Sus scrofa: one gene and its partner. The main gene of each other region encodes a partner of the protein of the gene in region 2 in a complex. Links are inferred from orthologs where the notes say so. Each region holds a gene or a part of one and is shown on either strand. Other genes may lie near its edges.

Region 1 (4,120 bases), on a different chromosome or scaffold from region 2:
CAAAGTCCCTGGCCAGTTCTAGAATTCTCTGATTGGCAAATTTTAGAAATTTTGATTTATAAATAAATAGACCTATCGACACACATAAACACCTAAATAATCAACTCAATGGCAGGGGAATTGAGTAAAAAATCGTGATGTGGGGAGATAAAAAGAAAGGAAAGGAAAGAAAAGAAAACACTTGTCCCTTCTAAGATCAGGTGAGTTAGCATTAAGAGTAATCAGCAGTACCTTTTTCACTGTGTCTTTAAAGTTGTTCACATTTCTCTGGATATGCTGGTCATCACCCTTAATACGCTACAAAAGGAAAAGCAGAGTGACGTTTTAACATTGTTAGATTGGAGCCTTATGAACCTCAGCCTCCCTAATTGAGGTATGTTCCAATTCACCTGGAATTAATGTTCTTAGCAATTTCGCCCACAATGACCTAGATTTCACCAGTGACCTAGATTTTCTGAGCTCTTGAATTCCCTTGGACACCAAAATCCAGTCATTTCACTTACATGGGACCCCAGTTCACAGGTTCACCTTTGGGAAATGCTACAGAGGCTGAAGGGTGTGGAAAGTGGTTTATGCAAATCCTGTCAAGAATAAAACCATAACTGCACCTCATCAAAAAAATGTGTGCTCAGAACAAGAAAGATACACAAAACATCTTATGTGAACAGCAGGCCTTCTGCAATAAATACTAGGCCCCCTCTGCTCTGCTCACTCCACTCAAACCTTTTCTCATGGTCTTAAATGTTCAGAGGCATCAAGCTCACATGCCTCTGATTTCGGCACTTCCCATATCAAAAGAGCAGCGTCTTTGCCCATCCGTCACCAAGAATTAAATCTTCCCTTTCCTCTTCCTCTCATTCTCATCCCCTCCCTCCATCAACTTATACCTGGTGGGTCCACTCACACCAAAAGGCATTTTTCCCTTACAGTGCTCAATGCGTTTCTCATCCCACATAACCTGAGTTGCTTTTCCCCCCAGGGACAAATATCCATCATCATAAACTCCAAAATGTGGCTCAACTAAAGCAAAAGCAAACTGTGATTCTGAATGCTCGCTGGAATGGTGTTGCTGAGGCACTTATTGCTGCCTGCACAAGGAGGGGCAATGAGGGCTGGAGAGTAAAAGGCTCTACACAGAGGAAGGAAGGGAGGGCAGGCCCTCGGGGTGGGTGGACTCAAGCTGGGAGAAGAACTTACGCATTGGCTTAGCTTTTTGCTGAGGCTGTCCAGGAAGGACGCCACCTCCTGCATGTAGGGGTGGAATCTATCAGAGTTGGGGAACAGCACTTCTTCAAGGGTGAAGTTCAGGACCTGCTTCACCAGGTAGCAGCGCTCTCTCATCTGCTGATGGAAGGGAAACAGCGGGGGTCACATGAGGCAGCATGCAGAAGCCCCAGCCCATCACCACCACGACTCCAAATAAGCACAAATAGCATCACGGTGATGGCTTACATTGACTCCCTGGAACAGATTATTCCCAATGAGACGAACGTCTGTGTTGTTATCTGCCAAACTAGCCTGGAAGGGAAGAAAAGACCTAAGTTCCTGGGCATCAACGCATTAGAAGAAATGTCTGTAAGTAAAGTTGTACTCTATCTCCTCTCCTCAGAGCAGCACCAAAAAGACTAAAGAAAGAATTCAGACGTGTGCATCAGTTGGAAAAAATGCTCAGGGGTCGGGGGAGGGATAAATTAGGAGTTTGAGATTAACAGATACACAATACTATATATAAAATAGATAATGAACAAGGACCTACTACACAGCACAGGGGATTCTACTCAATATTTTGTTATTATCTATAAAGGAAAAGAATCTGAAAAAGAATCTATGTATATACATATGTGTATACATATAAGCACACACACACATATATATATATATAACTGAATTGCTGTACTGTACACCTGAAACTAATGAGACATTGTAAATCAACTATATTTATATTAAAGAGATAAATAAGATACAAGGGTATAATGTATAGCATAGGTAATATAACCAGTATTTTATAACCACTCTAACTGGAATATAATCTTTAAAAATTGTGGGTCCTTACATTGTACACCTGAAACAAATAGTGTAAATCAACTAAACTTCGTTTAAAGAAAAAAAAAGGATAAATGTCAATTTTCTCTTCAAAAAATAAAAGAAAATGAAATAATTCTCCGAAGAGTAAAGGGAAAAATGAATAATCAGATGGGCTGCTAAATGACTCCTTTTCGAGTAAAACTCAATATACATATTCTAAAGGCCAAAATAGAAGGTCTTCTGGTAAAGCTCCACCTCCAAAGAGTCTCAGAAGAGCCATAGAACATGATGGCTGGTCTAGCAGTAGAGATAAATGTTGGTTTCTTAAAGATCTTAGACGTGCCCTGAAGAAATGGTAAGAACTCTTTGGGTTCCAGGTAGCTACGATGTGAAGGAAAGAGAGACTGAGCTGAGTACCTCCTGAGCAAGCGTGAAGGTGCGGTTGGTGATGTAGGGCTGCTGGAAGTTGGACTGGTCAAGCTTGCAGTGATGAGTGATGGGCACAGCCACTCCTCCCTGTGCCCACAGGGCGAGGAGAAGGAGGCAGCTGGCGGCCAGAGTCTCCAGAAGGAAAGGGCTCCCAGATGTCCGCAGGGCAGCCATGGCAGACGACACGAACTTGAGCAACTGGCGACGAGGGAAGGAGAACCTGGTATCAAGGGGACAAGACACAGAAACAACACAAAGGGAAAGAAAATTAAGTATCGAGAAAGTACCACACCAAACAAACAGGTCATGCCTAGTTTGCTGGAGCACTTACCTGTTTCGGTGATTCTGCTTGTGATGAGAAGGTAGAAGCTGCTGCTTTTATAGCCCCCAGGACACCAAATTGTGTGTGTGAAAAAACATGACATCAGCATCATCTAATTTCCAGTGCTGTCTTCTGAGAATTACCTAACCACCATAGGAGCCCACAAAGCACCACCTCCCGTCCTTCCCACCTTGTTACGCTAGTGTTTCCCTAAAACGTCACTATTAGGGTGCGGAAGGTGCTTTTACAGACAAATCCCAGAAATTGTCTAAACCCTACATATTTTCAAAGAAAACAATCGTTTTGTCTTTGTAGATTCCAGATTTAGTATAATAGTGTTTGATCTCCTATAGTAAGTGAGTAAGCATTTTGGTCACGGTCTCGTTTTCCTACCAGCTTCATAGATTCTTATCTCATTAGAGGAGATAAAAAATAAGGGCCCTATATCCTCTGCTTTAAAATAAACAGTAAGGACAGCTTGGAGATAATTCCATTTTTAAAAATAAGTTTGCCTCCTGTTTTTAATATGAATCCTGAAGAAGATGTACCTTTAAAAAAAATAGCAGGGTTGGCTAATCTCGGCACCATTTTCCTCCTGTTCTGTGACTTTAAGTGACCACAATAACTATACTATACCTTCATTTTTTCATTACATGATAATCAATATCAATTTAAGTTTGGAAGAATTAAGGCTGACCATCTGATCGCTATTTTTCTTAACGTGCAAGTGTGTTAGAATATAGTAGATATAGTAGTTCCCTTAGAAATTTCACCTTCATTCTTTGTAAACAACACAGGTCTCAAAATGATATTTCTAAACATCTTATAATATTTTTTATTTTATATATATGGAGGTCTAAAGAAGAGAATCTGGCAATTGAGTGGTTACATGTGAACTTCAAATTATTAAAAAGACATTGAGTTCTAAATAACATCTCAAAACTAGACAGAAACCCTCCTACGGGGTGGAAGCAGGGGACAAGGGCATTGATCTATTGCTAAGGGAAGGAATGGGAATTTTGCAAATTCCTTTGATCACATTTGTCTTCTCACAATGAGTTCAAATCGGAGCATTGAAGAAGGGATGTGAATAATTGTAGAAACTTGAGCATTTTGTGAGATAACACAGGCCTAGGCGAGGAGACACAATGAAGGGTTAGAACAGCATGAAGACATGAGGCGTTTGGGAAAGTGGTCTTAGAAGAAAGATGCAAAAGGGAAGGTTAGGGAGAATAAATAAAAACAAGACCTGTTACAAACATGTGCTTGCGGTTGTTCGTGAGCCCAGGATGAGAACACTCTTATTTTCCAATTTTCTATTATATAATATAGGACCATTTTTGC
Region 2 (3,649 bases):
TTCTTTATTTATTTTAGCACTTGGCTGTTTTATTTCCTCAATGATGGTTTCTTTTTAATGTAATACCTCAATTATTGTCCTATTCAAATGGTACAGTAGACCCATGAGAGCTGGATAGGCCCAAAGTGAAAGATTTAAAAAATATGAATCTGGAAGTTCCTGCTATGGTGCAGTGGGTTAAGGATCCGACTGCAGTGGCTTGGGTCTCTGTGGAGGCTTGGGTTTGATCCCCAGTCCTGTGCAGTGGGCTGAGGATCAGGTATCGCCCGCAGGATTTGATCCTTGGCCAGGGAAATTCCATACGCTGTGAGTGTGGCCCATATATATATGCATATGTATGTATATACACATACATACAGAGTATGTATGTATTACATATGTGTATGTATATACACATACATACAGAGTATGTATGTATTACATATGTGTATGTATATACACATACATACATAATACATATATATACACACACACACACACATGCACATATATATATAAATCTGCACTGTGCTGTTGAAAATACCACCATAGGAATGGATCCAGGTATTCTGCATTTTACACAGGTTCATGAGCTCTATTTGAGAAAAAGAATTTCAACTGTGAAATTCTTCCATGGCGCCCTAAAGTTTAATCTTCATTTATTTCATGGTAAAAGAACTCCTAATCCGCTGTTTACGTTGGACTATAAATAAGCCCACTTTGGACATAGAGCCTATTTACACTTCTGCCTAAACGGTAAGATTAAAAAGATTGCAGTCCCTAATCCCCACGTGTGGGAAGCACCTCCAGGGATGCACACATCTGTATTTGGAGTGGAGAAATCTTTATTGTGAAGATTTGTGAAATGTACCATTGCTGCACAAAATATGTTGAGAAAAGCAGCAGCAGTTAAAGACTGAGAAACTTCTGGAGATAGTTGTTCTGGAGATAGTTGTCTTCTGGAGATAGTTGGTGAGAGGTTATTTAATGGAAAAATCTGACCTTGGACCTACCCCACGCTGGAGAGACATGAATGAATTCATGGCATAAAAATTGCTCTTTTGGTGCATAGCTGCATTTGATGTTCTGAATTTCTAAGAAAAAACCATAAAAGCTAAACTATAATATCTCCTGTCTCATGTTCAGCCAGCATCTCAAACTATGTGAGAAAAGGAAAGAGCCTCAACTCCCACCCAAACTTTCCCTGCCCCCAGTGTGTGCATGGGGAAAAATCTGTCATTTACAAATCAGGAGTTTCTGTTCCAGGCCTCAATCCAGAAACAGAGTAGATTATATCTGGATTTTGGCAATAATCCACCAGAATTAGCCTGAAGGTCACAGGAACCTGAAGGAGCATGATTCCAATTTGCATTCATGCCCACAGGAAGCATTCTTTTTGAAAGGAATTTTCTAAATAGTAAGCCCAGTCTTAAAAAAAAAAAAAAAGAAAAAGGACCTTTAAATTTAAAATTATCATTTACACACTCACTTCCATGTGTCCCATAACTTCTTTTTCAACTAACAATCGCATCGGTTTCATGGAGCACCTATTATGTGCTGAACAATTTGCTTCTAACATTCACTGGACAAAACATGTATCGTGAGTCTGTCGTGAAGCTGAAGGCTAAGCCTATGAGGTTTTGGTCCTGGGTCTCTGAGGGCAGAAGCACCTCTCTCAACAGACTGTACATGATCATCCAATCTGTGTCACCTTCGGGGGAGATACTCCTGGCCCCGCCTCTGTTTCCTCTTAACCCTTCGGAAACTGAAAAAAAGCTCAGACTCTAAACACTCCATCACATTCTAGAACACAGGATCTCAGTGGCCATGTCCACCAGCTGGAGGAAGCGCAAATCACTTACATTTTTTTTTTTCTTTTTAGATTACTTACATTTTATACTGCACAAAATAGATGCTGCTGTTGCTGGTACAAGCCCCTCCAGGCTGCCAGTGCAAAATGTTGTGGAAATTTCGGGACTGAAAATGGACTCGTTGAGGTTTCAGAGACTTGTAGGCTGGCCGAATTTCTAAAATAATAAGAAAAGGAACAACACTGAACCTTGATAGGAGCACCCCCTGTTATTAGCAATAGTTGGCAATGTGGTACCTGCATCAGGATTCCCTGAAGGACTTGCTATGAGTGCAGGTGGTACAAGTGAAGCCCGGAAGTCAATGCTGTGAATCTTTGATATGATGGTTTTGATGCATGAGAAAGTTCCAGAACAGTTATGTTCCAGACTCTAAAAAGTTTGAGTGATAAATTCCCACCCCTGTTCCCAACCTGGAGAGGGAGTCAGAGCAGTGAAAAGAAATGGTCCTTAGTCCCTTCCTTGGTGGTGATGGAATGTGGTGACTGAGATGAAAGGCCCACACATAGGCCGTGAGCCTACCTCTCTAGGAGGCCCTGCATTACCACTCCACCGAGGCAATTCTGCCTCCAAGACCTCAGCCTAGGACTTGTTCCTTCTTTCTCCATCCCTGGGCCCATCTGGATCCTGACTCATCATACTCCATCTCTCTCAAATGACCTGGATTTATTGCATGTAGATGGTTTCACTCCTGAATGGATGCTCTTATCTGCCTGCATCCTGGTTGCAAGTGCCTGAGCATACTTGCTGGTCCAGGCGATGGAGGGAAGCTGCCCAGTGCTGTGGGGTCCCTGTTTTTCATAGGAGTTTCAACAGGAATCAGTAAGAAGGGGGATAACTTCACACTGGCATTCCTTGAGTTTTCTTGTTCAATTCACCCAACATGGAGGCTCCATCTCATCTGCATTTAGTCCATTGGAGGCGAGAGACCTTTGACAAAATTTTGGCCTAGATTCTGAAGGAAACCAGAATACTTTACTCCCCACTATGCCTCTTTGACATAAAAATTATTTTGAGAGGAAGGCAATTAAGAAGGAGCAAATGCGGAAAAAGCTCTCTTGACTTCCCCCCTTTTCTGACTAAAGGCAGGATATAAATTCTCCTTTTACTGGAGAAAGACTCTGATCAGCCCAGAGAAGGCACCAGAAGAATCTGCAAATGAAACTTACTTCTTTAGCTTCCTCCCATATATTTACTCTCCCACTGACTGCCCACCCTTGGAAGCCTAGAACTTTCCTTTGGTCTATCCTGCTTTTTTTTTTTTTTTTCAGTTGGAGAGGTTCTTTTTATTAGCTAGATTTTAGAGTTGCTTAACACTCAAAACTGAGGTTTTAAATTATGATTTATTTTATTCTACCTTTATCAGAGTATAGTCGATTTACAGTATTGGGTCAATTTCCAGTCATACATATAGGCACATTCTTTTTCTCATACTATCTTCCATCATATTCTACCCCAAGAGAATGGATATAGTTCCCTGCACTGTACAGTAGGACCTCATTGCTTATCCATTCTAAATATAATAGTCCTGTCCTGTTTCTGCAGATGTATTGTTGTTTGTTGAAGATGCAACATAAGCTGGAATTCGAAGCCATCATCTTGAGCTTCTCTTAGGTTAGTTTCCCCTGGTATTGTGAGATGCATGTGTTAATGAAGTGTTTTTCTCTTATTAATCTACCTTTTTTGTTAAAGAACCCAGTTGACTTTTTTATGGAATAAAATTGACATTTAACATTGTGTAAATTAAAAAAAAAAAAAAAGAGTGCCAGCTGAAAACCTAAAATGGGCAGAGATAAAGCTTT

Evidence for each region.
Region 1: the proteins of IL22RA2 (region 2) and IL22 are in contact, whole or in part, in a crystal structure (PDB 3G9V), measured with the Homo sapiens proteins. The link is inferred for Sus scrofa from reciprocal best matches to the Homo sapiens genes IL22RA2 and IL22. Residues at the interface, in NP_443194.1 of Homo sapiens: Lys65, Ile66, Tyr99, Gly100, Gln101, Arg102, Trp104, Gln128, Glu129, Pro130, Tyr132, Met148, Pro150, Arg151, Thr153, Trp155, Trp156, Glu157, Glu200, Pro246, Met247, Leu248, Asp249, Arg250; in NP_065386.1 of Homo sapiens: Phe47, Gln48, Pro50, Thr53, Asn54, Phe57, Met58, Lys61, Ser64, Leu65, Asp67, Asn69, Thr70, Asp71, Val72, Arg73, Leu74, Lys162, Gly165, Glu166, Asp168, Leu169, Met172, Arg175, Asn176.

What each region holds. Positions count from the first base shown.
Region 1 is NC_010447.5:32,601,682-32,605,801, forward strand, and holds the start of IL22 (interleukin-22), read right to left. Parts: upstream 2,827-4,120; 5' UTR 2,786-2,826; intron 2,675-2,785; 5' UTR 2,629-2,674; coding exon 2,443-2,628; intron 1,519-2,442; coding exon 1,453-1,518; intron 1,345-1,452; coding exon 1,198-1,344; intron 298-1,197; coding exon 106-297; 3' UTR 1-105. UniProt on the Homo sapiens protein: Cytokine that plays a critical role in modulating tissue responses during inflammation. Plays an essential role in the regeneration of epithelial cells to maintain barrier function after injury and for the prevention of further tissue damage.
Region 2 is NC_010443.5:27,076,346-27,079,994, reverse strand, and holds part of IL22RA2 (interleukin-22 receptor subunit alpha-2), read right to left. Parts: intron 2,007-3,649; coding exon 1,871-2,006; intron 1-1,870. UniProt on the Homo sapiens protein: Isoform 2 is a receptor for IL22. Binds to IL22, prevents interaction with the functional IL-22R complex and blocks the activity of IL22 (in vitro). May play an important role as an IL22 antagonist in the regulation of inflammatory responses.